Linked DNA regions of Mus musculus: region 1 is reported to be linked to region 2. The links are microRNA targets in miRTarBase. Many come from high-throughput screens and were not tested one by one. Region 2 holds a microRNA gene; the other region holds the end of a gene's coding sequence.

The links. Region 2 holds the annotated microRNA mmu-miR-505-3p (CGUCAACACUUGCUGGUUUUCU, at 2,414-2,435, shown strand). A microRNA usually pairs through its seed, bases 2 to 8, with sites in the 3' UTR of a target mRNA and lowers its output. Matches are read on the target gene's strand: a 7mer-m8 pairs with bases 2 to 8, a 7mer-A1 pairs with bases 2 to 7 and ends in A, and an 8mer does both.
Region 1: miRTarBase lists Vmp1 as a target of mmu-miR-505-3p. Seed matches in the 3' UTR shown: 7mer-m8 at 1,803-1,809.

Annotation. Positions count from the first base shown.
Region 1 is chr11:86,581,651-86,585,927 of GRCm38, reverse strand. It overlaps Vmp1 (vacuole membrane protein 1), which reads left to right. Exons shown (of 12, transcript NM_029478.6): 12 at 477-2,070. The coding sequence ends at 620. It overlaps Mir21a (microRNA 21a), which reads left to right and starts at 1,770; the gene lies at 1,770-1,861.
Region 2 is chrX:60,392,574-60,396,850 of GRCm38, reverse strand. Mir505 (microRNA 505) reads left to right here and starts at 2,359; the gene lies at 2,359-2,448. All of the region lies in intron 1 of Atp11c (ATPase, class VI, type 11C), which reads left to right.

The DNA.
Region 1 (4,277 bases), not on the chromosome of region 2:
GGCAGCACCCTGAACAGGGAGCCTGGGGGAGAGCAGCCGCTTTCCCTTGGCTTTAGACTTCAAATAGCTCTTTGCCGCTGTGGCCAAAGAGGGCTCACATTTATGTTCTAAAAGCAGCTCTCAGAGTTTAGGTCCTCTTCCCCTTCCAAGCAAGGTCTGCAAGGCTGTAGAGAAAGTATAGACTCTAACCAGACCACTCTGTCACAGTGTAAAAGGACAGCCCACCCTCCCATCCCTCCCTAAGCCATACAGGTTAGCATCAGCTATCCATCCCACAGCTTGAACTGACAACCTAGTGTGGAAAAGCTTGGCCTGAATGTGGATTTCAGCCTACCTAGAGACCGGTTTTTAGTTGTTTGGGTATAATAGGCAAGCCTCAAGTTCTCATTGTTTCCCTTGAAGTGTTGCAAATAATCTCCTTAGTGTTGAACCGAGGAAACCCTTTTTCTTGAATTGTTCTGCTTTCTTTCCTACAGGGAGAAAACTGGTTATCCTGGATGTTTGAGAAGCTGGTGGTTGCAATGGTGTGTTACTTTGTCCTGTCTATTATTAACTCCATGGCACAAAACTATGCCAAACGAATCCAGCAGCGCTTGAACTCAGAGGAGAAAACTAAATAAGCAGAGAGTTTTTATCTGCAGAAGTTAACATGGTGGAGTCCTGCCTTACACTGGGAGGGCTCTAACCAGGAAGGAAGGTCCCCGTTTCCAACCTGTGTTGATTTTTAAAACATTCTTCCTGAAAGCAGTTTAGTCCATATGTTACACTGACATACTTTATTTGTTAAGGTAAGGTGTCTACACCCTCAGTTCAATCCACGTCGTATTCTTTAGGGTGGATGTGATGTTCTGCTGCAAACTTAACAAAAACTGGCCTTCTGATACCTTCACAGGGCCACACAGAACCTTCTGAAGTATGTTAAATATGTCAGGCTTTTTAGGCTTGTCACAAATGATTGTTTTTTTCTAAGTCACCAAATGTATATAAGTTATATATATTGGATAGCAATCTTGCATGTCTATCATGGAACAATTTAATATGCCTTCCTTTCCCACCCTCAAAAAGGCCATTTTATGACGCATTGCACACCCTCTGGGGAAATTGATCTTTAAATTTTGAAACAGTATAAGGAAAATCTGGTTGGTGTCTCACAAATGAGTACGCCATTTTTTATTCTGTATATTTAGAATGAAGTCGTGAAAAACTTTATAAAGACATCTTTGATCATTCCGAAATTGTGTCCGTTTTCTTTAGTGCTATGGTTTTTTGTTTCTTTTTCACTTCTACAAAGCGAGTGGCAGCCTTGCCAATTAGACTTAAACCAGAATTGCCCAGGCTTTTATGTATTGCCTGAGAGAGCTACCTCCAAGGTGTTTTGTTGTTGGGCTGGAGATCTAAGCGGGACTATGAGGTTCACCTAGAGTGGGAATCTCTTACTTTATAAAAACAAGAAGTGGTGATGTATAAATCAGAGGACACTAGCAAGAAAGGCTTTTTCATGTTCATGTTAGTTTTAGCTGTTTGTACTCCGGCTTTAACAGGTGGAAGCTTACTTCTCTGTGTGATTTCTGTGTTTTATTTCAATGTGATTTTCCTTTGACATTTTTTTGATTGACCCTGTTCATTTTGTTTTGCCTGGTAGGAAAATAAACAGCTTTCTTTCCTAGAATTGGCATTAAGCCCCAGCAAACCAGAGATGTTTGCTTTGCTTTAAACCCTGCCTGAGCACCTCGTGCTTGCCCCCTGTCGTGGTCGTGACATCGCATGGCTGTACCACCTTGTCGGATAGCTTATCAGACTGATGTTGACTGTTGAATCTCATGGCAACAGCAGTCGATGGGCTGTCTGACATTTTGGTATCTTTCATCTGACCATCCATATCAAATGTTTTCATTCAAACATTACCCAGCATCATGGTTTGCAGTCAAAAATTGTGGTCCTTATGTCTTGTGAGACTTGGAGCCCTTATACCTTGGTACAACAGCAGCAGTATCAAGAGAAAACTTCCTAGGAAATTGGGGTAGTCGTCACAGTCATAACTAAATAAATAAAAATGAAAAGTCACCTTGCCTCATGGATTTTGGAAAGGTTGTCCTTTGTTGGCTTTTGGTTGGCTGGTTGGTTTATGTTTTTTTCTTTACAGGGACTAACAATTTGTTACCTGGCCATACTTGAAAAGCAATGCCCAAATTAACAATGAAATTTTTATTTGTTTGTTTGTTTGCTTGTTTATTTACTTATTTATTTTGAGATAAGACTTCACTATGGAGACCAGGCTAGTCTTGGACTCATAAGAGATCAACACACCCTCGCCTCCCAAGTGCTAGAATTAACTTCGTATGCACCGTGCTGCCAGGCTTAGACTAGTATAATTCATATGTTAGCTAGCTAGCATCAGAATTCCCACCTTACTTTGCAATTGTTTCATCTCTTTGCCTCACTATTTTATTTTGTGTTTATTTGAAGAAAGAAGATGTTAAGTGTGAATTATATTAAGTCTTTGGGATTTATTTATAAAACTTGCTTCAGGATAGAATATTTAAGGAAAAAAAAAATGGTTTCCTAAGCTAAAAGTCTAGGAGACTAATCAAGCCCTAAACTCTGTTCATTTGTCCTGGATTCCCGCTGAAGCAGTGAGATATCTCTTCTGTCCCATGGTTGCCTGGTTTCATTAACCACTATCATAAATATATAGTTATATGTCTCCAAAGATACTACTACTTAAGTCTAGCTAGTAGGAGCCCAGAAAGTTTGCAAGTGGATGGTTTGATATTCCTGAAACTTGGAGAGAGCTCGGGCCTTCTGACTCCATCTCATAAGTCTTATTTTGTTCCTCTGCACTCCAGCTGCATGCCCCATCTGCAGTTTATTCAATCAGACACTGCCATGGAATGGGTCTGGAATCTTATGTACACATAATCTGGAGTGTGGGGCTCTGAAGAAGGATACTTCCATTTATTTGGATGCTGAACATATAGTTCAGTGGTTCTCAACCTGTGGGTCATGGCCCCTTAGCAGTCCTCTGTCTCCTAAAATACATTATGATTCATAACAGTAGCAAAATTACAGTTATGAAGTAGCAATGAAAATAACCTCGTGGTTGGGGGATCACCGCAACATGGGGAACCGTATTCAAGGGTCACAGCGTTAGGAAGGTTGAGGACCACTGGCCTTGTCCCATCCTCCTGACAAGCTAGAAAAAAAGAAGACTGCAAATGGTGTATTTTTCGCCTGCTAAGTGTAGAAGCACCTCCTGTGGTGAGCATTCCTTAACCTCCTCCTGACTCCAGCATGCTCTGCTGTCTGTAGCATAAAGACAGTATGAGATTCCTGTCACCCACCAAACACAAAACCTGCGTTAAGCTTAATAAGTTGCTGTGGTAAATGTTCCTATAACTCCAGTTTTGTTTCATTATTTTGCTTGTCTGTATGTTTTGAGACAGGGTCTGTCTGTGTAGCCCTAGTTGTCTTGGGACTCCCCGTGTAGACCAGCTTAGCCTCTGACTCAGAGTTCTGCCTGCCTCTGCCTCCAAAGTGCCTGAACTAATCACACCTAGCCTTAACTTCAGGTTTTTAGACTGATATGTTTTTTAGTTGCGTGTATCTGTGTGGGGGTATGTGCACATGTATTACAGTGTCAGAACACGGCATTGCATGGGAGCTGGAATTACAGGTGGGGCGTGTTAGGAGCTAAACCCAGGGCTTCCACATGAGCAGGGTTTGCTCCCACCTGCTTGCCATCTCTCCACTCCTGTCTTCAGTTTTTAAATCATCAAAGATGATCTTAGACACATGCAGAAACGTCATAATGTAGCAAGTGCACCAGAAACTTATCGCAGGTTCTCCACTTCAAACCTAGGCTTTTAGCGCTGCCGCTAGCAGGAGCTGCCGCCGGGCTGCACCGGTCTTCACGTGCTCCTTTGAAGCCTTCAGCATCTTAGATAGGTTTTTGTAGTAAGGAAAAAGACTATTTGGCCAAACCTTTTAAATTTTATTTTGAGGGGTATTGTGTTGTGTAACTATGTGTGTCTTCTTCCCAGTGCTGAGGCTACATTCCAGCTTGACAAGTTTTGTTTCGGGTTTTTTGTTGTTGTTTGTTTGTTTGTTTGTTTGTTTAATAACTACGTTTTATTTTTGTGGATGAGCGTACACATGCCGTAGTGAGTTCCTGAAGGTCCAAGAACAGCTTCTGCCTGTCAGTTTCCTTTTCCTTCCACATGAGGCTCAAGAGTCAAACTCCGAGCTTCAGTCCTGCCACAGAACCCTTCCACCAGGCC
Region 2 (4,277 bases):
TCTTAAGATTTATTTCCTCTCCTGATGTAAGTGAAGGTCAGCAGTGATCATAAAGCAAATATATTAGTACAGCTGCAGCATATGATAATACTACTGCAGATTAATGATGAATGAGTGTTCAGCACTGCAGATATGGCACAGGATGCCTTATTCACACTGGCAGACAGCCCCTCAATTACTGCAGTGTATGGATGGATTGCCAGTTTGGCTGTCTTCTTGATTATAAAAGATGCAGTTTTTGCATGGTGTTAGACCAAGAATATCTGGTTTAGGACGTTGTTTTGTAGTTTTAATGTATAGGCTATCATTGATATCATGCCCTATACTTACAATGGAATATGGGAGGGTTGAAGATGTGTGCCTGGTTCAAGCAGGTATCATTTGTTTCTTAGGCCACATTATCTTGAGGTATTAATGTGGCAGTGTCTTCCTAGTCCAGTCTTCTTCACCAATATATTCTTGAAAAAATTCAAACAGTGTTCTTGACAATGATTTTACACTAGCACAGGTAAACTATAGATAAGATGTTCAGTAAGTACTTTTGAATTGCTTTGAACTGACTTAGTAACAAAAGCTGTCTAGTTATCAGTTGAAAAAGCAGCCACTAAGAGGCCTCTGTGTTTTAGAATAGGCTTTTTATTTTAATAAAAGCATATAGCAGAAAAAATATCCTTTTTATTGGATAGTATGTGTCTTAGTTTGGGTTTCTTTGCTGTGAAGAGATACTGTGATCATGGCAACTCTTATAAAGGCAAACATTTAATTAGGTGCTGGCTTACAGTTTCAGAGGTTCAGTCCATTATCATCATGGCTGGAAGCATGATAGCATCCAGATACACATGGTGCTGGAGAAGGAGCTGAGAGTTCTACATTTTGATCTGAAGGCAGCAAGGAGGAGACTATCTCTTGCATGCAGCCAGGAGGAGGGACTCATCTGCACTGGGTAGAGCTTGAGGACTAAAGAAGACCTCAAAACTTGCCTACACAGTGGCACACTTCCTTCAACAAGGCCACACCTCCTAATAGTGCCCATGGGCCCAGCATATTCAAACCACCACAATGCTACACCATTATTTTGAATGAGGAAAAAAATTATGCACCCCAGTAGGTGGCCAGAAAAAGTTTGCCCTTTATTGAAACTTTTTTCTATTCGTCAGAAGGAGAACCTTTAAACCATTCCCTTTTCTTGGTGTTTCATAAAACTAATTAATATACTATCTTCAGCTTTTAAAATTCTAAGTACATTTGGATGCTTTTTTTGTTAAGTACAGTTGATAAAACATTTTCTTTTTAAAAAAATTTTTACTAGATATTTTCTTCATTTACATTTAAAATGCTATCCCTAAAGTCCCCCATACCCTCCCCCCCACTCCCTTACCCACCTACTCCCACTTCTTGTCCCTGGCGTTCCCCTGTACTGGGGCATATAAAGATTGCATGACCAAGGGGCATCTCTTCCCAGTGATGGCCGACTAGGCCATCTTCTGCTACATATGCAGCTAGAGACACGAGCTCTTGGGGGGTACTGGATAGTTCATATTGTTGTTCCACCTATAGGGTTGCAGACCCCTTCAGCTCTTGGGTACTTTCTCTAGCTCCTCTTTTGGGGGCCCTATGATAACACATTTTCTAATTCAACTAATACATCAAATCTACTTTGAAGACTAAAACTGCAGTGTTAACTCTAGCAGAGCTTTGTGTTACTTTTGTTTGTTTTTGAGATAGAGTTGTCTTTATAGTTCAGATTGACCTGTACTCATTCTTTAGCCCAAGCTGGCCTGGAACTCTGAATCCTCGTGCTTTAGCTTCTCAAGTGATGTGATTATATGTATGTGCTACCATGCCCATCTGCTTTATGTCATTTTACTCACTGTGGTAAGTGTAATTTATTTGAATTCAGGATAATCCTTAGAATTTAGTACTAAGAATATAAGAATGTATAGGCCAGGCATGGGGGTACATGCCAACAAACCCAGTGATAGGAGGATAACAATACCAACTTCAGACATACAGAGTTCTAGGCTATAGCTTAGGCCATAGGGGACTCCATTTCAAATATCCCAAACTAGGAGCATGGGAGAGAGGAGATGCATATTATGAAGGATTTGCAATTGTTTGTGAAATAAATCTCACCTTTGTTTGAAGGGTGCTATATGGTATTGACATTGAAAAAAAATTACTTTTCCGAGGTCAATAAGCTAGCCAGCCTTGGAGTTGATTGAGTCTGTATATGCTACTAATAGAAATCATACCTTTTCAGTGCTTCCACAACCATGCTTCCCCATAATGAGTCATTTCTTTTCATATTGCTGAAAGCATTCCCTGTTTGTCACTTGCAGAAGAGCAACCTCCGGTAGTAAATTGATGCACCCAGTGGGGGAGCCAGGAAGTATTGATGTTTCTGCCAGGTTAGCGTCAACACTTGCTGGTTTTCTCTCTGGAGTATCACCAAGTTCGTGGATTCTGTTTGTACTTCTATAACTGCTCAGATCTCCATGTTCCATATATTTGTCCATGTTTTCCAACATTCATTTGCACCTTTCTCACATCTCATCCTGTACATATCTTAGTTCATAGGCAGTAAGTATAAATATCCTCTTAGGCAGTATAATTCCACATAGCAAGCACACTAATGAGTATTTTTATTATAATAGCCCCATATATAAATAAACATACATACGTAACACATACATATATGGAGAGAAAGAAAGTCTTGGGATAATAAATTTAGGGCAATATTTGTAACTATTCTTTTATTTTGGGATTAGTTTTGAGTTGAATAATCAAGGAAATCCCCAGAAATATATTTCTGGTTAGTCTCAAGTTTCATGCTATTTACTGGTGTAAAGGAAAAGTAACAATTTTGCAGCAATCCTGTAGATCACCAGGGAGTAGAAGCCAGTAGGGAATTGTCACAAATAAATAACAGCTGGCTAGAAAAGATTATATAAGGTATACCTGTTGTGTGAGCAGTGGGCATGTCTTTTAAGCTTCACAATTAATCTGCTTTGTGGCAATGTGGATTAAGTTGTTTGTAGTATAGTGCACAATTTAATTTACTTCAGCTCATTTTCCTTTCATTTTAAAGAAAACAGGCTGGGGAGATGGCTCAATGGACAAAAGCACTTGATTCAGATCCTCAGAACCCACAAAACCAGCTAGAAGTGGTAGTTCAAGAGTTTGTCATCCATTCAGGTGTAGTGTCACAAAGCTTTGAATTCCAGCACTTAGGAGGCAGGCAGATCTCTGAGTTGGAGGCCAGCCTGGTCTACAAACCAAGTTCCAGGATAGCCAGGACTATACAGAGGAATGTTGTCTCAAACAAAGCAAAACAAACAAACATTAAGTCCATATTCTCAGTGTAGCCTTTCCTACTGGGAGATTAGAGGCTGAGACCAGAGAATTTCTAGAAGTCTACTCACCAAAGCTGGAGCCCTTGTATTGAAGTAACATTTGAAGGTTGATACCCCACTCTCTCTTTCTCTCTCTTCCTCCCTCCCCCCCTCTTACACACACACACACACACACACACACACACATGGGTGGGGAGGGATTGACCTAGCCTTTCAAGTAACTAGGACTATGCCACTGTGCCTACTAGCTTAAATTTCTTTTCTGACAATATTTTATGAGTCATAAGCTTTTATTTGAATATTCATGTCCTGTTAAGGGCTATAGAGGATTATACGGTACAAGCTCTGTTCTTGAGATAGAAGATATACATGTAAGATCAATCTTTATATGAAGTATCTGATTGATACTGACTAGTTGAGTCAGGGATGCATGTAGCCCAGGTAGCCCAGGCTGATCTCAAACTCCCAAATCTCCTGCCTTCCCCCTTCTCAGTGTTGGGAATCGTGGACATGCATCGTCATGCCTGGCTTTGGCCTCTTGAGTAGCATGTGAAGTAGACACTTGCAAAGAGAGAGGCATCGACTCTTCTTCACTTTAGTTGACCAATACTAATCAATTTCTCGTAGTTCTACCCACATCACCTAATCAATTTCCCCAAAGTTCTTCATAATATCATGATGAGAGCTAGACTTCAGCATATAAATTTGGGAGGGAAGGGTCACCAACATCTAGTCCATAACATAGCTGGAAGAGTTGTTCAGTGCTTTGTTTCCTATGATAAAATTTATAATTTATAAAAGGTAATGATAAAACTGGATATCAAGGTGCTTTAGGTTTCTACAACTGCACAAAATTTCCCATAAACTCGTTTCTGAAATCCATGATTCCAGGGCATTACTCTGCTGATTTGGAACAGTAAAATG